Linked DNA regions of Coturnix japonica. The protein of the gene in region 7 interacts with the protein of the main gene of each other region in a pairwise test. Links are inferred from orthologs where the notes say so. Each region holds a gene or a part of one and is shown on either strand. Other genes may lie near its edges. The genes, in order: KIF3C, TRIO, CEP170, GNB1, NEFM, EEF2 and DISC1.

The links.
Region 1: the proteins of DISC1 (region 7) and KIF3C interact in binary tests that used the Homo sapiens proteins (3 or more experiments, as listed by UniProt). The link is inferred for Coturnix japonica from reciprocal best matches to the Homo sapiens genes DISC1 and KIF3C.
Region 2: the proteins of DISC1 (region 7) and TRIO interact in binary tests that used the Homo sapiens proteins (3 or more experiments, as listed by UniProt). The link is inferred for Coturnix japonica from reciprocal best matches to the Homo sapiens genes DISC1 and TRIO.
Region 3: the proteins of DISC1 (region 7) and CEP170 interact in binary tests that used the Homo sapiens proteins (3 or more experiments, as listed by UniProt). The link is inferred for Coturnix japonica from reciprocal best matches to the Homo sapiens genes DISC1 and CEP170.
Region 4: the proteins of DISC1 (region 7) and GNB1 interact in a two-hybrid assay, tested with the Homo sapiens proteins (2 studies listed by BioGRID and IntAct). The link is inferred for Coturnix japonica from reciprocal best matches to the Homo sapiens genes DISC1 and GNB1.
Region 5: the proteins of DISC1 (region 7) and NEFM interact in a two-hybrid assay, tested with the Homo sapiens proteins (2 studies listed by BioGRID and IntAct). The link is inferred for Coturnix japonica from reciprocal best matches to the Homo sapiens genes DISC1 and NEFM.
Region 6: the proteins of DISC1 (region 7) and EEF2 interact in a two-hybrid assay, tested with the Homo sapiens proteins (2 studies listed by BioGRID and IntAct). The link is inferred for Coturnix japonica from reciprocal best matches to the Homo sapiens genes DISC1 and EEF2.

What each region holds. Positions count from the first base shown.
Region 1 is NC_029518.1:95,741,717-95,745,216, forward strand, and holds part of KIF3C (kinesin-like protein KIF3C), read right to left. Parts: intron 707-3,500; coding exon 605-706; intron 473-604; coding exon 350-472; intron 1-349.
Region 2 is NC_029517.1:54,052,804-54,056,303, reverse strand, and holds part of TRIO (triple functional domain protein), read right to left. Parts: intron 3,172-3,500; coding exon 3,144-3,171; intron 2,246-3,143; coding exon 2,083-2,245; intron 38-2,082; coding exon 1-37. UniProt on the Homo sapiens protein: Guanine nucleotide exchange factor (GEF) for RHOA and RAC1 GTPases. Involved in coordinating actin remodeling, which is necessary for cell migration and growth. Plays a key role in the regulation of neurite outgrowth and lamellipodia formation.
Region 3 is NC_029518.1:31,700,207-31,704,170, forward strand, and holds the start of CEP170 (centrosomal protein of 170 kDa), read left to right. Parts: upstream 1-1,164; 5' UTR 1,165-1,360; intron 1,361-2,296; exon of another isoform or gene 2,297-2,410; intron 2,411-3,964. Other genes in the region: SDCCAG8 (serologically defined colon cancer antigen 8), read right to left, coding at 630-696.
Region 4 is NC_029536.1:1,629,005-1,633,138, reverse strand, and holds the start of GNB1 (guanine nucleotide-binding protein G(I)/G(S)/G(T) subunit beta-1), read right to left. Parts: upstream 2,801-4,134; 5' UTR 2,484-2,800; intron 1,952-2,483; exon of another isoform or gene 1,782-1,951; intron 1-1,781. UniProt on the Homo sapiens protein: Guanine nucleotide-binding proteins (G proteins) are involved as a modulator or transducer in various transmembrane signaling systems.
Region 5 is NC_029537.1:2,110,435-2,114,723, forward strand, and holds the start of NEFM (neurofilament medium polypeptide), read right to left. Parts: upstream 2,801-4,289; 5' UTR 2,748-2,800; coding exon 1,683-2,747; intron 1,489-1,682; coding exon 1,364-1,488; intron 255-1,363; coding exon 1-254. UniProt on the Homo sapiens protein: Neurofilaments usually contain three intermediate filament proteins: NEFL, NEFM, and NEFH which are involved in the maintenance of neuronal caliber.
Region 6 is NC_029543.1:792,036-796,265, reverse strand, and holds the start of EEF2 (elongation factor 2), read right to left. Parts: upstream 2,801-4,230; 5' UTR 2,676-2,800; coding exon 2,673-2,675; intron 2,154-2,672; coding exon 1,939-2,153; intron 1,008-1,938; coding exon 826-1,007; intron 741-825; coding exon 529-740; intron 1-528. Other genes in the region: E3 SUMO-protein ligase PIAS4, read left to right, coding at 4,033-4,059. UniProt on the Homo sapiens protein: Catalyzes the GTP-dependent ribosomal translocation step during translation elongation.
Region 7 is NC_029518.1:35,652,806-35,656,797, forward strand, and holds the start of DISC1 (disrupted in schizophrenia 1 protein), read right to left. Parts: upstream 2,801-3,992; 5' UTR 2,724-2,800; coding exon 2,648-2,723; intron 2,617-2,647; exon of another isoform or gene 2,500-2,616; intron 1,834-2,499; exon of another isoform or gene 1,756-1,833; coding exon of another isoform or gene 1,731-1,755; intron 1-1,730. UniProt on the Homo sapiens protein: Involved in the regulation of multiple aspects of embryonic and adult neurogenesis. Required for neural progenitor proliferation in the ventrical/subventrical zone during embryonic brain development and in the adult dentate gyrus of the hippocampus.

The DNA.
Region 1 (3,500 bases), about 60 Mb from region 7:
GGTGTAATGGGTGACCCCAGTGGCACTGGAGCCGCCAGGACATGGTGGCATGACCTTATGGCACAGATGTCCCCAAAATATGGTGGTATGGCTGACCCCCAGGCACTGGTGTCCTCAGGGCATGGTGGCATATGCATCCCTGGTGGCACAGGTTACCCCAGGGCATGATGACATGAGTGTCTGCAGGGCACGGTGGCACAGGTGTCCCCAGTACCATGCCTGGAGCATCCTCCAGGGCATTGGGTCCCCATGGATAGTGGGTAGGACATATGCCCCCAACTTTGAGACATGAGCCAAAGGCAACTCCACATCCCTCCCCACCCGAGTGAAGCCTCCCTGGTTCTCTCACCTTCTTCAGTTTTTTGGTCTTGATCTCCACCTCCTGTTGCAGGGATGTGTAGGTCTCCCGCAGCTCCATGGTCTCCTCATCCCTAAGCAGCATCTCCTGCTGCATCTCCCTCTCGCGGCGTTTCTGTAACCAAGGGGGGGTTGCTCAGTGTTGGCTTGGGCACTGACCACCCCACGGACCCCCTAGCCCCACCATGGACATTCTGGCCCCATGGATGCTCCCAATCCATTGGGACTGGGATGGATGGGGTACTACCTGCTCAGCTATCTCTTGCCGCTTCAGCTCCAGCATCTTCTGCTGCTCATTGGTGTGGTCCACGATGGTCCTGCCGCCGATCAGCAACTTGCTCTCCATGGCCTGGGGAGGGCAGATTGGGGGGGGTCAGTGCATCTCATGGAATCACTGAATCACAGAATGGTTGGGTTGGAATAGACCTCAAAGATCATGAAGCTCCAACCCCTCTGCGGCATGCAGGGCCACCAACCTCCCCATTCAATACCAGCCCAGGCTGCCCAGGGCCCCATCCAACCTGGCCTTGAACACCTGCAGGGATGGACGGGGCATCCACAGCCCTTCTGGGCAGCTGTTCCAGCACCTCACCACTCTCTCTGTAAAGAACTTCTCCCTGATATCCAACCTAAATCTTCCCTCCCTCCTTGAACTTCAAACAAATTCCCCTTGTTGTTACTACCTACCCTTGTAAAGAGCTGACTCCCCTCCTGTTTATAGGCTCCCTTTAGGTACTGGAAGGCTGCAATGAGGTCACACCCCACAGCCTTCTCTTCTCCAGGCTGAACAAGCCCAGCTCCTTCAGCCTTTCTTCATAGTAGAGGTGCTCCAGCCCTCTGACCATCTTTGTGGCCTCCTCTGGACCCTCTCCAACAGCTCTTTATCTTTTACTGGGGGCTCCAGACCTGGACACAGCACTGCAGATGGGCCTCACAAGGGCAGAGAGAGACAATCACCTCCCAATCCCTGCTGGCCACCACTCTTCTGATGGAGCCCAGGATACCATTTGCTTTCTAAGCCACAAGAACACACTGATGACTCATGAGAAGTTTTGAATCCACCAGGTCCTTCCCTGCAGGGCTACTCTCAAGAACAGCTCCTTCCAGTCTCTATATATGTCCAGGATTCCTCCAGCATCTCTACAATGTACTGTCCAAGGGTTCAAAAACTCAGACACAAGGTTTGAGTGGTTCTGGTACAGCCAGGAGTTGAGCTGGATGGTCCTTAAGGGTCCCATCCAACTCAGGATATTGTATAGTTTGGTGATTCTGAGCCCCCCCCCCCAACCCCATCCTGCTCCCTGTACTGATGGATGCGGCGCCGTGGGGACGTGGCCAGGGCTGCTGGCTGCTGGCACAAACCCAGGGCTGCCTCACTCCCACTTCCTTCCGCACAGCTGCAAGCCCGCGGGGCGCCACGGATGTGCAGCAGCTGCCGGCAGTGCGGAACGGCGCCGGGCCATCCGCCCCAGCTGAGCTGAGCCAAGCCGAACTGTGCCAAGCTGAGCTGAAAAGTGCATCCCAACCACAGTTTGCATCCCACGGTGCTTCTGATTTGAGCTCCCCACTCCAGCTCTGCCAGGATGCCTGAAGGATGGCACAGTGCTGGGTACAGGGGGCTGCCATTGCTTTTTTGGTTGACCCAGTCCCAGCCTGTACGCCCACACCCCACCCCAGTCTCATCCATTCCTTCTCCTCATCCCATCCAGTCTCATTCCAACCCCATTCTCCATTCCCATCCCATCTTCTCCTAACCCAACCCCAATCCCATCCCCATTCCATTCTCCATCTCCGATCCCCATCCCCATCCTCATCCCTCAGTCCCATCCCCCTCCGCATTCCAGTCTTCTCAAATCCCTTATTCCCATCCTGCCCCACCCCACCCTCACCCCAGTCCATCCCATCTCAACTCACATTCTCATCCCCATCCCCATCCCTATACTTCACCCCTCATCCATCCCACCATCACTTCTTGTCCTATCCCATCCCATCCCACCTCAACTTCATCTCATCCCAACCCCCCCCATTCCACCCCACCCCATCCAACTCCATCTCACTTCATTCCAACCCATTCTCCACCCCTCCCTATCCCGTTCCATAGTTCCATCCACCCCTACCTCTCCACCTCCCACTTTTCATCCTAACCCACCCCATCCTACCCCTCCCAATTGCATTTCCCTTCCCCCTCCCCAGGGCAAACGTGCTCCCCATCACACAGCTGTGCACACACATCACTGAGCGCGCACACACACACACACACAGTTTTCTTTCTGTTTTTTACACTACATCACACAGCGACACCTAACACACATTTCTGCATGTCCACGACATTTGTGCACACACGAGCGCACGCTAATTTACACCGCTGCACGCATACATCCGCACGCCCACGTGTGCTGGCATTTGTGTGCATACACACACACATTTACACCCACACATCTGCACACACCCTTGGACCATGGGATGTGACAAAGGCTGTGCCCCCCCGGGACCCCTTCACTGCTGTTTCCAAGCAACCAGGAGACACGCGGGCGGTGACGTGGTGCAAAGGGGGGACAGCATCTCCTGGGCACGGAGGTTTCTGGGGCAAACCCACAGAGCTGCATGTAAATTATCTGGGGCAATACTGCATTTTCCCTATTATTCTCCTGTTTTTTTTTTCTCCCTTCCCAGCTATTGCATGGGTACTTTTGGCATGCAGCACCTGCAGTATGTGATGGTGAGCTGCTATGGGGTTGAGAGGGGCCATAAACCCCACAACCAGCTCTGCCCCACCCTGCTGCTGCAGGAATGGTCTTTTGGTCCTGTTGTTTTTCTCCCTGCAGAAGTGTTTGTTTACTGTGATGAAGACGACGCTCAATCTTCCTTAATACAGATGAACCCTTAAGCCTCTCACTGCAACCCATTTCCTGCCTCCAGATAACTCCTCCAGCACTGGCCTGTGCCCTGAGCTCCCAGGATTGTGGTGCTGACATTACAGCCCATGGCACTGTCCCCCTGTGGCTACACCATGGATGTGGCAGATGCTGGGAGCTTTGCTTTGAGATGGAGGCTGCTGCCTCCTCTGGATGGAGCGCATCCGTCTGAGCAGGACAGTGCACATCTGTCTGCCTGCAACAGTGCACATCTGTCCGAGCAGGATG
Region 2 (3,500 bases), on a different chromosome or scaffold from region 7:
GACGCCAATGATTTTCAGTGAAGCTTCTCCTAAGTCACTGGGAAATACAATGGCATCCATAAACTTTATATTCAATTTACAGACCTTGAACTATGGAAATTATACGAAGTTAGAGTGATCACATTAATACTTCTTACTGTACAGGTCCTATGCTCTCTCTTCACAAACGTTAAATCTGTCACTGCTATTTCAGAAGTGTCTTTTGAATGAAAAACTGAACATGAGCCATTCGTGTGCTCCTGCAGCTTGGAAGGCCAACATTACCCTCGGCTCCATCAGAAGAGGGGTGGCTAGCAGGGACAGGGAGGTGATTGTCCCTCTCTATCCTGCTCTTGTGAAGCCCAATCTGGAGTACTGCATCCAAGTCTGGGGTCCCCAGCATGGGAAAGATGTGGAGCTGTTGGAGAGGGTCCAGAGGAGGGCCACTAAGTCAGAGGGCTGGAGCACCTCCTCTATGAAGACATGTTGAGGGAGCTGGGCTTGTTCAGCCTGAAGAAGAGAAGGCTGCAAGGAGACCTCATAGCATCCTTACCAGCATTTAAAAGGGGATTATAAACAGGAGAAGAATCAGCGTTTTACAATGGTAGACAGTGATAGGAAAAGGGGGAGGGGGAATGATTTTAAGTTGAAGGAGGGAAGATTTAGGTTGGATGTTGGGGAAGTTCTTTACTATGAGAGTGGTGAGGTGCTGGAACAGGCTGCCCAGAGAGGTTGTGGATACTCTGTCCCTGGAGGTGTTCAAGGCCTGGTAGGATGGGGAGGTTGGTGACCCTGATGTGTCAGAGGGGGTTGGAACTTGATGATCCTTGGGGTCTCTTTCAACCCAAGCCATTCTATGATTCTAATGTTGCTACTTCCAGAGCATTCAACTCTCAGTGGAGACAAGAAGAGCAGTGCAAACACTTGGCAGGCCTTCCCTAGGGTTTTCAACTCTAAGGCTCAAAACAGCCCTAACACTGTGTTGTACACTCACAGTACAGCATATTTTCAAGATTTTCTATTGTTCCTATTATTTGCCTTTGGATCTCAGTTACTCTGAGTTATTTGAGTGCTGGCACAAAAACCACTTGCCATGGTCTTTACCCTGCCACATTTCTGGGGAAATATGAACATGAATTTTAGGAACATGGGAAAATGACCTTCCTCCACAGCTCAAAGGATGTTCAATTATTTTATACTAAAATCTGTCAGCCATAACCAAAATGATTTACTGGTTATAATTCTGTAAAAGTAGTCATAGAATCATGGAATGGTTTGGGCTGGAAGGGACCTTATATCCCATCCAACTCCAGCCCCCCTGCCACAGGCGGAGCTGCCAACCAATAGACCAGGTTGCCCAGGGTCCCAATTCAACCTGGCCTCAAAAGCCATCAGGGATGGGCCATCCATAGCTCCTTGGGGTAATTGTGCCAGTGCCTCACCACCCTAAATGGTTCACAATATGTTAATCCTAGTGAATTTAGCTCTACTCATCTCATAATGGTTGTGGATGCAGTAGTACAGCTATCACAATGCCCTTGTCTCCCCATAGCAAGTACATAGGCTAGACATTTCTTCACACTGAAGTTACTCAGTAAAGAATATTTACTGTAAATAAATGAATGCTTTATCAGAAAAAACCCTTCTTCAACAGGCAATTTAGGATTCCAAAATACAGTAATATCTGCTATTACACATTTGTTTGAATTACCAGTTAGTCTGTTCAGTTCTATTATAGCAAAGCTAAAAACAAACAAAAACATTTGTTTCCGTGCTTCAATTATGAAGATGGTAGCACTGTCATTTTAATAGGAAACAGAAGTTTTTCTTTGCAAAATACTATCGTGTGATCATTCTGAAAGCAGTCATCTGCCCTCAGAATGATGCACACTACTAACAGAAATAAAGGACTGGCAGTGTGGCATGTCACAGCATTGAAATGTCACTCTTTTATTTTTGAGATGTTCAGTGTTGAGAGGAAAAAGAGGAGGATATAATTAAGAGCGACACCCCAAACCTATCAAACCAAATAAGCCACTGAGGTCACTGACAATGATTTTACCTTTTATGACAAGGAAATGTACTACACAGTAATTACTGTACCTGTACGAAATGCTGTGATGACCGTCATTGCTCAGTGTGTTATGATCAGGACCTTTCCAAGTAACTGAAGCCTTGGGACGACCACAGACTTTACACCTAAGCACGATGGTCTCTCCTGTCTCACATGTTACCTCACTCAATGGTATTATAAACTCTGGGGGAACTGGAAAAAAAAAAAAAAGAATATTAATAGCATTAGGTCAACTGAAATTCATCAGTACAATTTGCATTTCTACTCCTTTCATCTTCTCTTTTCTATTAGACAATCTAACATAGCACTTAAAATCCAGAGTTTATCTATTCTTCTACCCTTGGATGATGTCTACAGCTACCTCACTTTCTGAAGCTCTGTAGAATTAATAACTTTTCCTCTTCATGAATTAACTTAATTAAACTTAAACATGATGCTACCACAATGCCAGGTAACCCTGAAGTCTACAGTGGTGACCCAAACACTCTGGGCCAAGTAAGCTAAGCAAAGCCAGCAGTGAAAAGTATTTAAGGATGTGCTCAGCTAGGCAATCTGTGTAGCCAGCTGTGTTTGCAGAAGGGAAGACAAAACATCTCATTTACTGAGGTACTATATTGTTGTTCCTTTTTGCTTACAGGTGAAACTCAAGAAGCTGACTCTTGTCCCAGTGTCACTGTATTTCTCCTGATCAGCCTCTGCCCTGGAGAGACTCTGAGTGTTTGCTAGGGAACAAAGAGCAAAATGAAGTGACAGGTCTCCAACTCCTGACCTCCTTATTTTGCAAATTCAGCTTCAATGCTCAACTTCCTTACAGTCTCAGCACAGATGTGGTAGAGAGTGTAAATCTTTCTGAACAATGTCATGTGATTCTTATATTTTATGATGTTTTGGATATGTAAACAAAAATGCCTTCCTTTCATCTTAAAATAATATGTCATATTTTGTTAACACCCTCCAAAATGAACTTGCTTATATTTTCACTAAAATACTCAGTTTCTGATGTAATTCATGTTAAATACATTTCAATAAAGTAAATGATGTTTCAATCCCATTACATTTGCTGTGACTTTTAAAGATTAAAACAACTTACCATCATAAATGTAATTGGGGTTGAGAAGCTGGAAAGGAGAAATTAAACAATTAATGTCTTTGCAAATGCGTTATAAAAGAATTGTAGAAAATAAAGCACAGTGGTTGGAAGAAGTCATCTGTACCCACGAGTGCCCAATAAACAGAAGAATGCCAGAGTCCCTGTACCACTCTACTTTTTCATCAGTATCCATATGCAGTATTGTGCCTGTGCATTAAGATACCTTATAATCTTGTTGTAATATTGATAAACACCATCCATTAAAACCACTGTTGTTTCTAACTTCTTCACGTGAAGTTCTAACAGAAGCTAGAATTAAAAGCAAGTCTGAAAGCAATTCTAACAGAACTCCTTTTG
Region 3 (3,964 bases), about 4.0 Mb from region 7:
GTGACCTCATCACTCTCAGCAACTGCCTAAAGTGAGATCGTAGTGAGGAGAGGGTTGGCCTCTTCTCATGCATAACTAGTAATAGGACTAGAGGGAAGTTGCACCGGGGAAGACTCATGTTGGACATTAAGAAAAATTCACTCTCAAGACGAGTAGTAATGCACTGAGACAGGCTGCACAAGGAGGCGGTGGAGGCATTCAGGAATTGCGTGGATGCGGCACTGAGAAACACAGTTAGTGGGATGATGGGGACAGGTTGGCAGCTGACCGGATGATCCAACAGGTCTCTTCCAACCTTAATAATTCAGTGAAGTTCGTTACAGAGCACCTCAGAAACCACCAAGAGAGCTGCAACTCGTGACAAACAGCCCGTCACAGCAGTCACAGCTCACCAGACAAAACACTTCCAAGTTCGTTCTAATTTCACTAGAAGCTCCGACTCCCGCGAGCACTTGATGAAAAACCCAAACCTCAGGAAAGCCACCTCGGGCCGCTACAGCGGAGCGCAGCACAGCAGCACACGGCAGCACGGCAGGAGCCGCAGCGCGTCCGACCGCCGGCGGGCTCCCACCCGGTGCCGGGCCGTGCAGGAGCGGCCCGTTCTCACCCGCCCGCAGCGCCGCGCTCACCTCGGAGCCGCGCCTGGTAGCGCTGCAGGGACTCCTCCAGGGCGGGCTGCCCGCGAGGCGCCCGCATCGGGCCGCCACCGACCGCCAGGAAGGAAGGACGCGCACCGAACTTCCCGGCGCTGCCCCGCGGCACTGAAGAACCGCTACTCGCACGAGCTCCCTCCCGTTGCTACAACACCAACCACCAGCCGCACCCCGGTACACGCGATACACAGCCCGCCCCCAGCCGCTCGGTGCACGCTGGGAGGCGTAGTCCCCACCCGCTCCCCATGACGGGGACCCGCACCGCTTCCCTTCCCCTCTTTGTTGTGGCTGGGCGCTGACGCCGCCCTCGCGCCTGCGCACTGCGCACTCCTGCCGCCCACGTCCCCGCTCCCGCAGCGGCTGATGGCGGCGCAGGCCCCGCTCAGACCGAGGGGCGGCGCCCGCCGCGCTATTGTCTGAACGGGGCGCATGCGCGGCTCCGCTTCCCCCGGCTCTGCCCCCCGCGCCTGCGCGGCGCCGTCCGCCCTTCGCGCCCCCCCCGCATTGTGTGAGTTGGGGCGGCGCCTGCGCAGCGCGGCGCGGCTGTGCCCGTTAGCCGCTATGTGCCGGGAATAACGTTGCCGCGGTTGCCGGAGGAACGCGGAACGGAGCGCCCCGCCCAGCGGGGCCGCACGCTCAGCGAACAGCCGGAGCCGCCGCTATCGGCAGCGGGTCGTCCCCGCGGCGCGGAGAGCCTCCTCGGAGGGGTGAGCGGGGGAGCGGGGGGAGAAGCGGGGCCGGGGTCGCGCCGCCCATTGTGTCAGCGGGTGCCGGGCGGGCCGCGCGCCGCAACGCGGAGTCCGGTCGTAGCCGCGGGGCCCGGAGGCCGCCCCCGCCTCCATCCGCCCTCGGCATCGCGCTGGGAGGCGTGGGGCGGCGGCGGGGCGGGATGCGGTGCCGCCCCTCCGGCCCTGGCCGCCGGCACACACCCCCCGAGCCGCCGCCGCGCCTCCCTCGGGTCCCAACGCGCCCTCGGCGGCGGTGTCCGCGCTACGGCGGTCAGCTGACGGACAGGGCGGCTGATGGAGAACGGCCGCCTGCGCCCTCTCCCCATTGTGCAGCCCGCCAGGCCAGGAGGCTCCTCTGCTCCGCGCCGTCCTCCCGTGTGTCCTCGCTTCTCCCCTTGGTGCAGCGCGGCACGGCCGCCCCCTCCTCCTCGCGGGCGGTCGGGGCCCTCACGGGGCCCGCGAAGCTCCGGGCGGGGCGGGATGGCGCGGTTACCGAAGCCCCGCAGCGCCGTGCTGCTCGATACGGCGTCACGGGCTGTGGGTGCGATGCTGCCGAACGGGAGACAAAAAGAGCAGCCCCCTTGTGACAGCCCAGGGAACACAGAGAGCAGCCGCCGCACGGCGGTGTGAAGGTGTTTTCTTTGCTACGAATAAATATTGAAGCGGTTTGTAAGACGAAAACGTGCTGCTGGCACCGTGGTAGACAGTGGACATGGCCTTCCGAGGGCCGCTCTGACAGCGCTGCTGGCCCAGAGCTCGCCTGTGTGGGATGGGGCTCCTTGTGTAAACTGAGCTGAGGCGTGAGCGCATATGCAGCGATTTCCTGTGATTAATTTCCTCTGGGAATTGCTGTCCAGATGCTGAGGAGCCCAAACTGCGGGGAACTGAGCTGTCACCATGGGAGCTGCTCAGCTTCGAATTCTATTTAACAACGGTTCTGTCTGAAAGGGGTCACAAAGCCACCTCACTGGGTGGGGAGAAGAGCGTGGCTGAAGATGCATAGAAATCTATCCAAAGCAAAGCAATGAGGTATTATTGTGTTTTTTCCCTCTCATTTCTCAACTACCTAAAAGTTATTTGTAAGGGATCGGATACAAATATTTTCTCATTCTTTTAAGAGAAATATTATGGTTTACAAGTTGTTACCAAGCTTCCTTTCTTGTGGCAGCACAGGGATTTCTTTGATGACTGTTCCAGTTGTTTTGCAGGTGCCGCCTGCCTCCCTTATCTGCTCAGGCTGAGGTTTGTGAATCAGAGTAGTTTCTCACTATCTTGTGCTTCCGGACTGTGAGAGACGTGGCATAAAGGATTTTAACAGTTCTCTTGGTAACATATGAGCTGGAAAAGAGCCAAGTTATGAAAGGGAACTACAAAAGTTGATGTACGCTTGCAGGTGGAAGCTGGGAGCTTCCCTGAGTGACAAGAGCTCAATCTAATACATGGGTAGCTGCAGAAACTGATTTTGAAGTTCCATTTCTAGTTTTTGCAAACAGAGGGGAAAAGTACTTAATGTGAATGGATACCACTATGTCTGCTTGGGTCCCTAAAGAGAACTATTGCAGTATCAGCACCACCTTCCTTGGCTCTGCAGGCAGAATGACACTGGAGTGAAAACAGACTAGTTTTACTTAAACCAAAAGGCCAACAGAATCTGAAATTCTGCTTTCTCAATAGAAAATGTTGGGCAGGAGAGCATCATGGCACAGATTCTTTTATCTGCTTCTGACATCTGTGAGCCGCTCTCTGTAGAACGTGCTGCTTGTTGTGCTAAATGTTGGTGTGGCTGGGACCAGGAAGCTGCAGATGAGGGAAGAAAGTCTTTTGTCTGTGAGGGATGGAGCTTCTGTCTGCTGAAGTCAGGTGCATGTCTCTTCTACAGCGTCCTATGGCTGTGCCAAGCGAGTCTGGGAGGTGTCTCTTGCTGCCTGCCAAGTTTATAATGCTCGTACAGAGCACCTGCGCTCCTTCTGGTCCTGTGGTTGTTGCTGTATCTTGCATTGTCATGTTCTTTGAACATCTTCGATGGCGTGATGTGCAGATAGCAGCTTCCTTCTGTGTGCAGCGCTCGTGCTGCTGTGGGTCAGAGACCACGCAGTGTGCTGAATGAGCCGGTTGTCCTGGGAAAAACAGAGCGTGGTCACATGGCTTGAATTGTAAGGTATAATGTATGCAAATGGGGCTGGGAGGAAAGCACAAACTACTTAATTAATCAGTTCTGTGTATGTCTGCTGTATAGACACAACAAAATATTAAAATCACAAATGTTTGGTTCACTTTTATCATATAGTTTCTTCCAACGTGTCCTCTTTTAAGCTGGGAGGCTGTTTTTATTTTAGAGATGCATTTATAGTTAGAGGCCATAAGACACTTTTATTTCAAATTTTGTTTGATCTTCAAAAAAATAAAACAACCAACCAACACGTAAATTAATTTTAAATTAATTTAAAAGCACATTTAAATTAATGTGCTTTATTTTAATCTTGCATTATGTCAAAAGCAGTTTGCCCCAGAAACTTCAAATAAAACCATCAGAGATATTTTATTGGATGGCTCCTGATGCTGCAGTGCTTTGTTCAGGCTCTT
Region 4 (4,134 bases), on a different chromosome or scaffold from region 7:
CCAAAATTATCAACCCAAGGTCCTTAAAAAAAATAAATTCAAAGCTATAATATCATAAATCTCCATATTATCTTACAGTATCACAGAGACACAGAACTGTTTTAATATCCCTAAAGCCTTTCTTACTCATACCCATAAAAATACAGAAGGATGGTAACAATTTGGGGCCAAAAGAAGCCTAAAAAGCCTCCGCCCACCACAAGCACTGAGTGAGATGGGAGATTTCGATGGGAGATTTCGATGTTCCATGGAGGGAACCGCCTGCAGGAGACCTGGCTGTTACCTGAGCAGCAGGAACCAGCAGCACAAAGGCAGGAAAGCCTTTGCATACCTGTCTTCTAGGTTAAAAATACCATTTTTTTCCAGCAACAGGCTTAAGAAAAACAAAGAACATTTTGATGGTATTAAGCAGGAACTGCAAGGTTAAAAAAAATACACAAAAAACACAATAAAAACCTCAAAATTGTGTCACCTCTTTGTCCAGGAACGGCCGATGTGAATGTTACACTAAAACTATTTACTCCTCCCACCCAGTTCCTATCTGGAAAGGCTCACAAAAAAACGTAAAAAAAAAAAAGAATAAAACAAAAACCCACCGATTTCTTGCAATAATCTCCCAAACGCTCCTCCTGCCCCTCTTAACCCCCAAAAAAAGAAGCAAGCAAACCCAACGAGAAAGTAAATCTAAATACAATTACGAAATAAGATCGAGTTTGGCCAAGCTGTGGTGAGGAGGAGTTGAAAAATGAGAGCTGCCTTGCTGCAAACGCCATCTTGTTGCAGCTACTGGGCCCAGGCACAGAAAGATCCATTCATTCCCAGCGAAAAGAAAATCAAACACACACCCTGGTTTAATCGGCAGCCACCAAAACAACCACACTATTATCGTCCCTTCTCTTTCTCCTCTCCTAAAGCACAAAGGGGGGGGGGGGGGAGAAGTCCTTTAAGATGTCACATTTCGAACCAATTGAGAGCTGAAGAGAGGCTGCGTTTTCTGCAATGCATTTCACACACATCGGCAGCGTTTTGTCTCCATGCACACATCCTTGTGGCTGCCAGATCAGCTTCAAATAAGGGCTAAGTCTCACGATTAGGGGCAGCAAAACCTTGAATTTTTCGCTTTTCCATCTCCGAGCTGAGGCATCAATTCCCCAGAGCCATCCCCAGGACCCCTCACATTCAATCCCTTTTCCTCCTATTTTCTGCTGTGGGGACAATACATAATAACGTGGCATAAGAATGCCTTATTTTAAAGCAGTCCCACCTATGGCTAAAGAATAATAATGAAACATCACGTTTGTTAAGATTTCAGATCGCCCTCGGGAATAATAAATTGACATCTTTTAGATCGTTCGGATTTCTTGCTGGGTTATTTCTTTAATTAAAAGGCTCTTTTTTTTCCCCCTTTAATGTAATTCACAGCACGAAATAACAACCCTCCCATTTAAAACCCCCAATCCACGGGTTAAAAAGGAGACGAAATAAACCAGATTTTAAACCATCGATAATAAAGCAGGAGCAGAGGCGGTATTAACATCTTCAAGGAGAAAAAAAGCTCCTTTTTCCTCTTGCAGGAAACACCCTCCATGATCTTCCTGACGGCTGCTACAAGCACAGCGATATGCAGAGCGATGGGGGGAACGAGGATGTGCCAACAAAACGCATCCTGGCTCCCATTTTAACGGGAACAAAACGTTTTCTGCCCGTCCCCCTCCCTTCGTTCCCCCCCCCCAGGACCCCACACGCAGGGCTGGAGCCGTCTCACCCCGCATGTGCCTCACCCTCCTCTCTCTCCGTCAGCTTTCCACCATTACAGCAGCCACACCACAGCTCCTTTCTTTTCCTTCACTCTCTCTTCCCAACGTTCCTCCTCCCGTCGCTTCGATCCCTCTGGAAACTCACACCGTCCTCACCCCCCCAACCCTTAAGGATCATTAAAAATGGAACCCCACAAAAATCCAACCCACCCCCCCCCCAATCTCTCTTTTTTTTCGCCTTCGGGAGAGCAGCGGTGCCACCCCCACCTTTTTTTCCACCTCCTCCTCCTCTCCCGGCTCTAAACACGCTTCTTTTTTAGGGGAGGCTCGAACGGCGATGGGGGAAAGCGGGGGAAGGGGGGGTCCTTCCACCCCGCCATGCTGAGGGCGCCGAGCTGCCCTTCCCGCCCAGGGCTGAGGAGACGGAGAAGATGGGCGAGGAAAGGCGAAAAAACGACAAAAAAAAGGGAGGAAGGAGGGAAAAGAGAAGTGCGGCAGCAATGGGGAAGAACGGGGGGAGGGGAGCGGGGTGGAAGGGCGCAGCCACGCAGAGGAAGAAGGAACCAGGGATGGAGGAGAGCGCTGAGGGAAGATGGCCTCAGGGTGGGGCCGCGCTGAGGACGGGGGGCTCGACGAGGAGGCTCGACTCCCTGCGGGGAGATAGGAACGCCAAAGGATTCTATATGGCCGCCCCGCCCGCCACCCTGCGTCCCTTCACACGGTTACCTGCCCTTCCGGCCGCTGTTCATCCACAGGGCCGCTCCAGCCGTCGCCCGCGGCTCCTGCCCGCGTCCCCGCCGGCCTGAGGAGGGGAAGGGGCGGCGGCGGAGGGGAGAGGGGGGAAGCCGCCCGCGCTGCGCTCCTGAGGCAGAACGGCTGCGGGCCGGGGCGTAGACACGGAAGGAGCGACGGAGCGGGGCGGGGGTACCACCGGGTCTCGGCTCCTCCTCGTACACTCGGACCCCGCTCAGCTCCCCGCAGCCATCGGGAAGCAAGAGCCTGGGCGCGGTTAACCTCCCCCCCCCTCCGCCCCGCCCGTGACTGCCCGGCCGGGAAACCCCGGCTCGGCTCGGCTCCCCGCTCCGCCCCGCAGCCGGCCCCCGGCTCCGCCCCGCTCCGTTCCCCTACGGGCGGTGGCGCCGGCACCGACGGCGTTGAGCTGCGCCTCGGGCCTCGCTGCTTCGAAGGCGGCAGCCGCTGCTCAGTCAGTCAAACTCAGTCGGTGAGGAAGGCTGAGCTGACAGGAAGGGGAGATTCGAACCATCGCCGCCTCCTCCCGCTGGTTCCTCCCCGTAGCAGGAACAAAGGGCGCGGGCGGGTTTCGCTTTCTGCCCCGCCGCGCCATGCTGCCGCGCCCACAGCGTCCCCTCACAGCGTCCCCTCATAGAGTTAAACGGGGCGTGTGAAAACGGAGCAAAAGAACAATCAACAGCGCTGTTTTTGCTTTTTCAACGGACAAAGGGAGGTTTGGAGGAGCAGCACACACCGTTTTACTTCGGTTAAAGAGCATTAAATGTAAGAATTGGCGGCTGCTAGGTGTAATGGTAGGGGATGGGGCTCGAGGCCTTGGAAAGAAACGAACCCCTGTTGTGTCACAGTATTATCCTCACAGATTTCAGGCTGTGGTACAACACAGCTCACAACTTCCTGTTTTTTATTTATTATTATTTATGAATTCGTATCACAAAGGTTTTTGCACAGCCAGAATTCTCAGGGTTTGGGGTTTTTTTCCCCCATTTTATCACTGTTTTCATATTCTCCCCACAAACGCTCATCTCTGTAAGGCATTGCAGAAAAGAGCAAGACAAAAAACACAAAAAAACCCCAAAAAAATCCAATTTCTGTTTCACAGAGCAGACTTCCCCCAGCTGAATCAGGAGAGAGGTTCACAAGATGGGATCACAGCAGCACTCACGTATTAAAACATCATTACTTATTGATGGAAAGTAAGTACACAATTGCATCATATCTTTTTCCTATCAGCACATCTATATCCCTTTCCCTCCCTTCCCCCCTCCACCATTTGCTTATACTTTGTTAAGTCAGGCAGTGAGGAGATGCCTTGCTACAGGAGCAGATTTGAACTGCTACTTGCTATCATGTTTTTTGGGAAGGCAGGTGTGATTACCTGTAATTAACAAGAGGTTTGTCCATTAAACTGTAGGGAAGTGGGTGAGCTATCATTCCAGGTGTCTGTTAGGAATAACTGTTCAATCCCGGTGTGGTTAAGCCTTTGTTTTATGATAATCTAATGCTTGTCCTTAAATATGCCAAGTGCTGAGCAAAGGCTTTAATTCTTTGTCCTGAGAAATTAGAATAAAGGACTCTCCAACCAGACCCCCAAACTGATGCTATTCTGTCACCACAGAAATATAAC
Region 5 (4,289 bases), on a different chromosome or scaffold from region 7:
GAGCCTTTGCTGCCATTTCTTCTGCGATAGATGCAAGGGCATCTTCCATTTCAGACTTCTCATCCTCTACTTTTGTCTCTTCGATGATTTCTTCTACAAATTTGTGCTGGACCTTCAGCTTTGGTGGCTCGATTTTGGTTTTCTGTATTTTAGTGGAGGCTATTGTGACCGATGGTTGTCTGTGTGTGAATATGGGTCCAGTGATGCTTCCAGAGAAGGCACTGAATCTTGTCTCCTCACCCTCCAGCAGCTTCCTAAGAGAATCAGGAAGGAAAAATAGTGAGCATTAGAAACCCAACCTACGGGACAATGTTTCTCTCTGTCAGCAGGATGAGGTCAGCGCATGTAGAATATGCTAGAGAAGACCAGCACTATCCATCGCTCACAGCCCAAGATCTGCTTCTCTCTAATCAGCTCTTTCAGTAAATTCTTACTGAACAAGCACCTTTTGGCTTGCTTTGCATGTAGCAAGCATATCACCTTTAGCTGAGCAGTTGAAATTCATCCTTTGCATCAAAGAAAGTGATTAACTCCATAGGACGCATCATGACTCAGGTGAACTGAGAATGGAATGGACCCAAATGGAACATCATTGCTGAGACTTTCAAAGCCAGCCAAGCATACACCCAAGCTCATTGTAGGCACCCCCACCTCTCTGCTTTTAGCCATACAATGGGGCTGCAGAGCAATACAAGTCACATCAGGCAGCAAAGAGCTGCAGAGCCTATAATGCCTATGCTTGCCTCAACAGCCTCAAGTTCACAGAGATCTGAAAGCAGCTTTCTCTTTTGACTGTTTTCATATTCAAATGTATATTTTTCATCTAAGCCTCTGACCCAGAAAAATCAGCAGTTCTGATGAGGTCTCTGAAGTGATGCAGAGAGACCAAAAGCCTGCCAGGTGATGGCAATAGCACACAGCTTTCCTGCTCCAGATCAGAGTGCGTGACAAAGGAAAGTTGAGCAAGAAAAGCAAAAGTGTTTGTGACAAGCAGGTTAGCGCTGCCTGCTTAAACCATGATCAAGCAAAGCACAGCATCTCTCCCAAGTGAGAAAAGTGACAAGCACCGCTTGCAAGGCATATGCAAAGTAAACAGGAATTAAAAATAAACTCATCTACTGCAAAACAGGCGCAGGGTGCAGCACTGAGGTGCAGTGTGCATATAGGGAGTTCTGCATTGTCCTCCTGGCTGCAGACACTTTTGAGTCTGTGCATTGTGAAAGGGCTGCAGTACTTCAGTCAAGCTCTAATTTGGCTCGTGTTCAACGCATACAGATACTTCTCGCTGGTGGTAAAGCATCTCAGAGCAGCCTCTGCAGTGCTATTAATATTCCAGACATGCCCACAACGATCCCCCTGTTACCTGTATGCAGCAATTTCGATATCCAGGGCCATCTTGACATTGAGGAGATCCTGGTACTCCCTCAAATGACGCGCCATCTCCCACTTCGTTCCTCTGAGCTCATTTTCCAGCTGATGGATCGTGTCCTGCAGCCGAGACAGAACAAACCATCACGACAAAGACATAAAGAAAGGGAAAAGGGGGAAAGAAAAGTTGCGGCGAGACTTTCCTAAAGTCCTTCCCACCCACTGGGCGGCAGCAGCGGGTTGGGACCGCACCCCCGGCTTTCCCCCCACCCGCATCCCGCAGCCCCCAGCCCGCACCCCACTCCCCGCAGGACCTGATAAGTGGTGAGATCGTTGTTGTGACGTTCCTCGATGTCGCTCAGCTGCCGCTCCAGCGACTCCTTGGTGCCACGCACCGACTCCAGCTCGATGCTCTTGGACTGCAGCTGCCTCCGGTACTCGGCGATCTCCTCTTTAGCGGAGCGAATGGCTTCCTTGTTCTGCTCGGCCGCCTCCGTCAGCTTGGCGTAGCGGCACTTGAACCATTCCTCGGCCTGGTGCATGTTGTGGTCGGACTGACACTCCAGCTGAGCGCGGATCTCCTTCAGCGCCGTGGTCAGGTCCGTCTTCAGGTAGTCCTTCCTCTCCACCGTAGCGTGGGACGCCTGAAGCTGAGCCAGCAGCTCGGCCACCTCCTCCTCGTGGTTGCCCCGCAGAAAGGCCACCTCGTCCTGCAGCGACTGCACCTTCTTATCCAGCTCCGCCCGCATCAGCGAGGCCTCCTCCATCTCCTTACGCAGGGCGCGGATGGTGGCCTCCGTTTCATCTCGCAGCCGAGCCTCATCCTCGAAACGCTCCCGCAGCCTCTGGATGTCCTCCTCGATGTGCTCCGAATCCAGCTGGATCTGTGCCTTCTCGTGGCTCACCTGCTCCAGGGCCCCGCGCAGCTCCCGCAGCTCCTGCTCGTAGGCATCCCCCAGCTGAGCCCTCCCGGCGTGTTTCTGCCGCAGCGCCGCCAGTTCCGCTTCGATTTCCTTGTTCTGCTGCTCCAGGTAATGCACTTTTTCGATGTACCCCGCGAAACGGTCGTTCAGCCCTTGCAGCTGCTCTTTTTCATTGGAGCGGCTCAGCTTCAGCTCGGCCGCCCCGTTCAACAGCGAGGACTGACTCACGTCGAGGCTCTCTGCGGAGCTCAGCACGGTGGAGCCGTAAGCGGTCCGCGGAGCCCCGAGGTTGGTACGTTTGTAGGACGAGGATACGGTGCTGCCGGAGCCCCGAGACCACGACTGAGAGCGGAATCCGCTGGACGGGGACGCGCTGGCCCGGCTGTACGTGGCTCGGGTCTCGGTCATCACCCTGCGGTACGAGGGGTTGCCCAAGGGCTCCATGGTGTAGCTCATGGTGGGGGCACTCGGGGGGTGGCGGACGGAAGCGCAGCGCAGCTCTGGATGCCGCTGCCCCTTTTATAGCCCCGCCGGGCGGCTCCGGGGCGGCCCCACACACGTGTGTGAGGATGTATCCGCCCCCGACCCTGCCTCAGCTCCGCCCCTCAGTTCCGCCCTCCCTTCCGCGCCTCCCTCATCCCATCCCTTCCCGGCCCCCGCTCCCAGCTCCCGGCTCCCCGACCCCCGCTCCCCCTTCCCCCTGCACCCTCTTTACCCCCTTCCCCCCTACCCGCTGTTTCCCATTCCCTATTCCATATCCTCTTTCTCCTTTCCCTATCCTTATCCTCCTTTTCCCATCCTCTTCTCTCTTCCTCTTTCTCCCTTCTTCCCTTCTCCGTGTTCCTTCACTCATGCTTCAGCCCCCTTCTCCCCTCACCTTCCTTTAGATCTTCACTTTCTTTCCTCTTTCCTCTTTCCTCTTTCCTCTTTCCTCTTTCCTCTTTCCTCTTTCCTCTTTCCCTTTCCCTTTTCCTTTCCTTCTTTCCTTCCCTTTTTTCCTTTCCTTTCCCTTTCCTTCTGTTCTTTCTCCTCCCCCGCAGTGGCCATGGCGGAGCGCAGCGCGGTGCCGGAGCCCGCAGGGTAGGGCCGGGGCCGGGATCGGGGGTTCAGAACCACGGACAGCTCCCCCGGGGGTTCAGCACCACGGACAGCTCCCCCGGGGCTCCGTCGTTGGCCCCGGGCGGGGGTAGGGGTGAATAGAGGGTCCCATGGGCAGCCCCCTCCTCATTTCCCCCCACCAACTCCCCCCGCCCCAGTTCCCCTTCCTCAGGCAGTGGTTGACATTTGAAGGTCATAAAAGTATCCGGGGAAGGGAGACTGCGTGGGCTGCGGGCGGATTTGCAGCACTGCAAGCGCTTTACCTCCCTATGGGGTAGGGGTTGCAGGTTGGGTAGTGCTGGAAAGCTCCCTGCAGTCCTGGATCTTGGTTCTTTATCTCGCTTTCATCCCCTTTATTCCTCCCCCCACCTTACCTTTCCACATAACGCTTGGTGCATTGCTTAGAAATGACTTCTCCTACTTTGAAACATTGCTAAGAATGATGTTTACACGGTGCAGTAGACTTTCTGTGGGCTGCATACGGTGACTTGCAGTAGCTAACAGCCAGACTTTGAACTCCTCGTGGATGGATCAGCTACATGGGCAGTGGATCAGTAAACTGGAAAATGTATAGATATATAAATAAATAAACTGCTGGCGCTAGAAAAAAAGCACTGCACTGCTACAGCTCCATTGCATTTCAGAGCTTTGGGGGGGTAGGTTTTAACTCCTCGTTTGGAAAGGTGCTGAAAACACGTCTGCCTGTATTCAGCAATCTGTGAGCTTTCAGTTGATTTGCTAAGGGACAAAATCCTACCTCAAAATTGCTTTTCGGCACACACAGCTCGTGGTGCTGCTACTGCTGTTGTGGAGAGTTGGGGAAGTCTGAGGGACAGGGTTAAACTTTGCAAACCACATGGAGTGCCGGACCTCTGCTGGCTCATTAATATGATGCTGTCA
Region 6 (4,230 bases), on a different chromosome or scaffold from region 7:
GCCCAGGCAAACCAAACACACTGCAAGCCTCCACCAAGAGCCTGAAGGTGGGGCTTCAGAGCTACAGAAGCACTGAGCACTTCTGTGACAGCACCTGCCCAGAGGGACTGACTGGCTCAACATCTGCTTAGACCTGTCAGACTGTAATCCTTAATGGAAACACCAGTAGAAAAATCTACGATTCGTTTGTTTCTCAACAGCAACAAAGCACAAAGGTTTCCTCAGGACCTGCAGCTGAACAGGCCTTGCACTCAGCTCAGAGTCCAGCAGGGAGTGAAGGGATCAACATCCCCAAGTGCCATCCAGCCTCATGCAGTGCAGGGCCTGTGCCCCGTGTCAGGTGAGCAAGGAAAGACCTTTCAAGAGGAGGACCCCTTCCTAGACAGAATGCACACTTGTGTTTCTATTCTTCATTGCATGGGTGCCTCCACTTCTCCAGCCTCACTCCTCCCCTGGAGGGAGGAAAGCACTGCTACCAAACACAGTTGCTCCCTCCTGCTGAAGGGGCACCCACAGCCATTCACTCACCATGATGTTTCCCATTGGACCGCTTTCTCCTTCCCCATACGTGGAGATGATGACGTTCACGTTCTCCACAATCCTCTGGAAGGTCTGGTACAGCTCCTCAGGATCCAGCTGCAGCTCCAGCAGTGCCCGGTCCATCTTGTTCATCATCAGGACAGGTTTGATCCTCTCAGCGATGGCCTGACGCAGCACAGTCTCTGTCTGCACACACACACCTGCCCAACACAGGACAATTAGTTCTCCTCACCTTCAGATCAACCCAACTCAGGTTGCAGTCACACATGGCTGCAAAAACCTCACCAGAGACGCAGTCGACAACAACCAGGGCACCATCAGTGACACGCAGAGCAGCAGTGACCTCCGAGGAGAAATCCACGTGCCCAGGAGAGTCAATCAGGTTGATCAAGAAACCAGAACCATCCTTGCTCTGCTTGATGAATGCCAGATCGTTGTCAGAGAGCTCATAGAACAGAGAAATAGCTCTGAAAGGGAAAAAGAGCTGTTAGTATCACCCCATTGCCCCTCTGCAACACTCTGAAGCAAAAGCAGTTAGAAACATTCTTGTATCCTTTACTATTTATTTTCAGACAGCTGCATCCAGCTTCCAGGGTTTCATGAACCACTGAATGGCCTGGGTTGAAAAGGACCCCAATGCTCATCCAGTTCCAACCCTCTGCTGTGTGTAGGGTCCCAGGCTGCCCACAGCCACATCCAGCCTGGCCCTGAATGCCTGCAGGGATGGGGCATCCACAGCCTCCTCGGGCAACCTGTTCCAGTGCATCACCCCCCACTGGGTGAAAAACATCCTCCTAAGATCCAACCTAAACCTCCCATAACAGGAAGAAATGATCATGAGAGGCGAGTGGGGAAGATGCTCAGGAGCATCCACAAAAACCTCTGCTTTTTATGCTTCCCTGAAATCATAACCCCCTGATATCGTGAGCTGCCAAATAGAGCGCACCTCCTCTCAGCTGCTTTTCCCACCAGCCTAAATCCCTTCTGGTCCCTCCCACCTCCTCAGCATCAGTCCATGGTGAGGCAGCTGGACCTGCAGGCAGTGACACTCCCAAGGAGGTCAGCTGCTCACCAGACAAACCTCACAGCCACCAGCGCCATTACACACAGCTGGTGCCAGAAACAGGAGGCCAAAGTCACACTGCAGGAGCACGTCAATCTCCCAGCAGCCATCAAGGTAACGCTCAGTGACTCACCACAGGGCAATCAATACTTGCCCCTTTGTTTAAGCAATCCACGCAGGGAAGAAAAATAAACCTAAACCTCTGAACAACAAGACAAGAGAAAGGCTGATGGGATCATCTTCATCTCAAGGTGAAACCAGGGTAGGATTCAAAGCACCCCCAGGGTCAGTCCGTGCGATGGGAACAGGGGGGCACCCGAAGGAGCAGCACTCACGTCGATTTGATGGTGATGCACCGTTCCTGCTCGTCCTTCCTGGTGTCAGTGAAGCGGGTCTCCCCCGCGCGGGCAGAGGCGATGATCCCAGCTTTACACACCAGGGAATCAGTCAGGGTCGACTTGCCGTGATCGACGTGTGCGATCACTGACATATTCCTGATGTTGGCCTTTTTGTCCATGATGGCCCGTATCTGATCTACCGTGAAGTTCACCTTGGAAAGAAAGGAAGAAGGGAGGAATGGGAGACGAGCTACGTAACAGCAAAGCTCCATTTCTTCCTACGTGGCGCTGTCAGGTTTAACCTCAAGGAATGAAGCACTGAGGGCACTGCAGAGCGCCGGGCCGGCACTGCAGCAGCCAGCGATGTGTCCTCAAACCCCCCCGCACTGACAGCGCTCAATGCACCGCAGCCCCCCCTCCATCCTCACCCCTCATTAATTAAAGGGGGAAACCGAGGAGCCGCAGCGTTACGTAATCGCTCCGGGAGCTGCCCGGCCCCCATCACAGCACCGGGAATTAAAGCCCTACGGGATACACGGAGCGCCGGGTTAACGGCGCCCCACCAGGCCCCGGCCCCACCCGTGTCCCCTCACAGCGGCCCGGGACGCAGCGCTAGGCCTCGCCCCGCAGCGGGACCCTCCCGGCCCTCCCGGAGCGGACATCCCCACCCGCACAGCCCACACGGGACCCGCTGAGCTCCATCCGAACGGCGGCGGGACGCGGGGCCTCACCATGGTGGCGGATGGAGGCGGATTCTCCGGGGCGGGGGGTTACAGCAATGGCGGCGGTGGCGGCGGCCCTGTCTCGCTGGCGAGCGCAGAGCGGGCGGAAGAGAACGCTGACGTCAACCGCCCCCCTTTTATAGGGCGGCGCCGGCCGGAAGGAGGAGCCTACGCGTGCGCGTGCGCAGATGCGACTATCTAGCACCCCCCGCTGCCGGCAGCTCTATGGTCGGGCGGTCAGGTCCTCCGAGGGCCGCAGTCAGGATCCACGCGGTCCCCGCTCAGAACCCGCAGCGGAAACAACGCGGTCACAGCGGGTACAACCCGGACAACGTGCCCGGGGCGCTGCTCAAGGCCTCGAGAGCGGCTCCGCCTTTACCCGGAGCGCTGGGCCGTCCAAAGCGGCACCGGGCCGGGCTGGGCGAGCACCGCCCATAGCGGCGTCTATGGACTAGGTGCGCATGCACCGGCCGGAACTGCGGAGGGCATGGAGCTCACTAGCGCCCCCTGCAGGCCGGGAGGAGCGGGGGTGGGCAGGGGGCTGCAATGGAGGCACGGGATGGAAGTAGTGTGATGTCTGTGTTATGGAGCGCAAATATCAGCTCGAAAACTGGAGGTCTTCTATTGAGACATCAATAGATTCCTCTATCTATAGAGCCCTCTGATCCCTCTATCAATAGATGGGTTTTGAGTGATGTTTTCTAGTTGATGAGCCTCACTGCAACTTAGGGACACGCTGCTGGCCCCATTGTGTTATTGTTATTATTAGGATTAGGACCCCATTATTATTGTTATTAGGATTGTATTCAGAGAGACTGACAACACAGCACCCAACCTGACACCCCAGCCATACGTAAGGAACTCAGGACACTGGTAAGCCAGTCCGAGCACACTGTCTGTGATGTCAATTAGGCTGAAAGGCAGCCAGGCAGGTATCCCCATCACCGGCTCCCATAGGCTAAATACATTACAAATATCACCATGCTCAGAAGCTGGGACTATAAGCACATATAGGCATATAATGACCCTCAGTCCTAACCCGTCCCCTTCCCTCTCCCCGTACCCATGTAAGGCAGCCCACAGGTAAAGAAAAGAAAGCAGGAGAGCTGTCATTAGCTCTGCTGTCCTCCCTCCATCCCCGCATCCTCCATCCTCTCCGTCCCGTTTTAGGGGCGCGGTCCCTTTAAGACCCCCGGAAGGCGGAGCGGGGCGGGGTGGCTCTATTGCGCCTGCGCGTTGCGGCGGCGGCCTCCGAGGTGAGGAACTCGAAATTGATTGGTCGACGCGTCTCCCGCGCGCCCCTCCCCTCGCCGCTAGGCGTCACGTGACCCGGCGGCGGCTCCCGGCGCGGTGGACGCTGGAGGCCAAGATGGCGGCGGAGCTGGTGGAGGCCAAAGTGAGTGAACGGCGGCGGCGGAGGCGGCTCGGAGAGACCGGGCCGGGCGGGAGCGGGATGAGGGCTCAGCTGCCGCCCCTCACAGCGCGGAACCGGCGGCGGGCGGGGCGGTTCGACGGGTGGGAGCTGGGGGGCGGCACCCCGGGACCGCCCCCCCCCTCCCCGCCATCC
Region 7 (3,992 bases):
GGGAGACTTGGTAAAGAAACATCTCTCCCTGACAGCACTTTTCAGGTGAGCAATTAACACAACCTGTGCCTATATGACAAAACAGAGCACAAAGCACACTGTTAAATGTTACACTGAATTAAGTAAGCACCTCCAAACAAGGATACTACAGAACTTCACACAGGCACAGCAGCCTTTGTTCAGTACCAGAGAGCCAAGTTTTTCCTGTGTGACTGCTGATTTACAAAGGACACATTCATCCCTCACACATAAGGGTTTTGCAGCAGTTTGCCTTCGAGAACACTGAGTAGTATTACAGCATACCCCAGGCTCAATCCTAATCCAGGTGACACAGCAAGAAAGGGCTGCTCTCTGCAAAGAGCTAAGGATGAACTCGGAAATCTCTATGGCAACACCACAGGTTCCTCCCTGTTTACCTTTGGGCCTGGTACTCCAAAGGAAGCAAGGAAAGCTGTTGTCACAGGAGGTGTTAATATGTACAACATCCAAAAGCAGGAAAGGCTGCAGACTGCCCGCCACTCAATTGGGATGAACATTTGCTCAAGAAAACCAAATGCCAAAATGAAAAGAAAAATCCTAACTCCTGATGAGCACTCAGGGTGCACCACACACTCCAGTAGATCCCAACTGGGAGGTCAGGTGGTTCGAGAGCTGCAGGAGGCCTGAGCTACGGTGAGCAAAAAGAAAAACCTACCCGAGTGTGCCTAATTTGTGAACAAAGTCAGAATTAACCTTCAGGGTGCTCTGCTTTTGTGAGTACAAAACATTGTTTGCGGTGCTTTTCCGTCCTTCTGTTCATTACAATTAATTCATACTGGTGTTAATAAATCCTCTTTTCTTGCACGACTCCACTACAATTCCAGAGGCAGCGTCTTAGGCCCAAACTTTCTGACTTCATTTTGCTGAAGGGAACAAAGGTTGATTTATGTGAAGTTAAAGAGGGAAGAAGCCAGTGGCAATACAGTGCTTGTCTATGACCACACTTCAGAGTGTTGTGCTGCTGTGTAACTCAGTAGTACAGTGTATGCCAGTAGGTTATTTTCACTGGCCAATCTAAAGGAACTACACAAAAAATGAGTAAGTTTAACAGCAACACAAAGCAAGAAAAAACACACAGAGATGGACACCGACAATATCAAATGCACAGAACATCTGTGGGTTCCTTTACATCCACCAGTCCCACTTTTTAGAGGATCACAGACCTCTAAGCTCAGCTAGTTGTCTCTTTAAATCACATATTTAAACACCTTTCTTCTTAGTTTCAAAACTGCCTAAAAATCCTATTGATAGGAAATGATGACTGGAACTCGGGCTGTAACACCACCATCAGTCTCTTCCCAAAAGAAACCACAGCTTTGATTTCAGCAATAATATGGGGGAACACTGATATGAAATAACTACCTAGACTTGGAAATTACACAACACAAAAGTGAATAAAGAGGAACTTTTCTTCCATTTTCACAAGTTACTGAAAGGCCAATTGCAAATTAGCAAGTAAACGGACAAATATGAAGAGACAAGAACAGAGATAATGCATCTCAAGGTAGTTTATGCATCTCTTTCAAAACTCTATTTTCAATTGCCAGCAGTGCTTGCCAGTATATGCTCACTTATATGCATAGAAAAGCTTTTATTATAAAGGCACTTCACTAAAGAGCTCTTAAAGCACTGTTCAGAAGCACAGCAAAAAGTTACTCAAACACATGTACACACAGATTAGCACGGATTACCCAACATCAATGAGCTGCTCTCCATTGAGATGTTGGCAAGGACAACTCAAGTGTTTGCAGGAAGTTTTGCTTTGCAGTACTGTGTATCCAAAAAAGCCAGAAAGTCAGCTGATGTGCCTGATGCATTCTACGCCTTCCCTTCTGAATCCCTTTGAGAAGATCGAGCTATTTTCTGGTGTTACCCACAGCTCCAGCCCCTCACCGGTACTACTATCAGAAATGACTCCTGCTCAGGCTGACAGCTGAGCAATAGAGGGGAGAGCAGCTCACCTGCTCTGCCAGCCACACCATTCAGTGCTCATTTATGCAAGGACTGACACACAAACGTGGCTTTTTCCCCACGAATATGGCAGCTTCCTTTTTAAACCAAGTTCGGAGATACCAGACTGCTGACTTCTAAGAGCATGTCTACTTCCCTCACAGCAGTTGGTTATGTAGATGTATATACATATACACACTCACTTATATATGTTTGTGTATATACATACAAACCTACAAATCACACACATTTATGTAGTAATATAATTGCTTCCACACTAACAGAGGTGGAATTTTGGGGTTAAAACAAGGAGGAAGGAAAAAAAAAAAGTGTTATTTCAGAGTTATAACAAAGTTTCCTAGGCAACACCGTGCTAACCCTCGCCAAGACAAAAACTCCGGGGAGTGAAAACTAAGCAAGCAAAGCGGGTTTGAAACTAAGAAGCAAGCAACGAGTCTTTGTATCTAACCCCTCCGCCCGCACCGAGCGTCCCAAAGCCGCCCTACCCACCCGAAGCTCGGATCCCACTCGGAGCCCCTCCTGCCTCGGGGAGAGCCGCTGCGGGACGGACCGGGCACCGTTACAGCCCCGCTGCGCTCCCGGCCCCCGGCCCCCCTCCCAGGCGCTGGGCCGCCCCTCAGCCCCCGGCCCCGCTCACCTGGGCCGGTCTCCTCCCTCCCGCTGCCGCGGCGCCGCCTGTCGGTGCCGTCCGAACGGGGCTGCGGCCGCCACATCCCGCCCCCCGGCGGGACGAAGCGGCTCCCCCCGGTCGCGTCGAGCGGGGCGGAAAGCGACGGCCCCGGCCACTCCCCCGGCGGCTCGGAGCCACGGGGCGCGGCCCGCACGACGGCACCCGCCGCCCCTCCTCCGGGCCGGCCTCCTGCGAGCCGGGGGCAGCCTCAAGCCTGCAGCGTACGGGCTTTGGACTAGCAGGGGGAGATGGAGGTTGGGACCCGAAGCCCCGACTGCAGATCGTTTCTGAATTCAGCACGGCACGCACACAACGAGGAAACACGCTGCTCATTGTCTATATGTAGTTTCAACTTGGCACCAGTGTCTGCACTGTGTGTGCTTCCATTACTTCTCATAGAGTCACAGAGCAGCTTGGGTTGGAAGGAACCTTAAAGCCCATCCAGCCCCAACCTCTTGCCCCACATCAACTCATGCTGCCCAGGGTCCCATCCAACCTGGCCTCAGGTACCTCCAGGCAGACAGCTGTGCCAGGGCCTCACTGCTCTCCCAGCGAAAAAAATTCCCCTGATATCTGATCTAAATCTTTTAATTAAAATCATTCCCCCTTGTCCTATCGCTATTACTTTTGCAAGTCTGTGATCCATTGAAGTCAAACCACAACTTCACTAAGATCCTCCAGTCCAACCATCAGCCCACCCCCACCATGCCCACTAGATGACATCCCTTGGTGCCACGTTTCTTGAACACCTTCAAGGATGGTGACTCCACCACCTCCCTGGCAGCCTGTGCCAGTGCCTCGCTACTCCTTGGGAGAAGACATTTTCCCTGTTATCCAACCTGAATCACTCCTTGGCTATCACCATATTCACTATATCAACCATTTTTCAGTATTAATTTCATGTTAAGCATTTTTCAAGGTGCCCTCCATCCTAGACTTCAAAGGTGCCTTCTCAGTTATGCATAGTGCTACCATACATTAAAACATCACCTTGTGTGCTGAGAAGTTTCTATGACATTCAGAGACACTGCTACAGAAAAGCCTCGCTTTAGTTGACAGCTAAGAGCTTACTGATATTCTTGTGTTTCAGTCCATTTATTAAGAAATACAGGACGTGTTAAGAGAGATGTAACCTCATACTCCAGGCTCTGCCCTTCCTGACTTATGAGACAATATAATAGACAGCTGTGCCTCACAAGCCAAAAATAGACACACATCCTCCTTTCATCAAATGTGCAGTGCTGCTGCTGATTCAGATGATGTCAGCTTATATCAGTACTAGCTCCCATCACTCAGAGATCAATTTGTCATA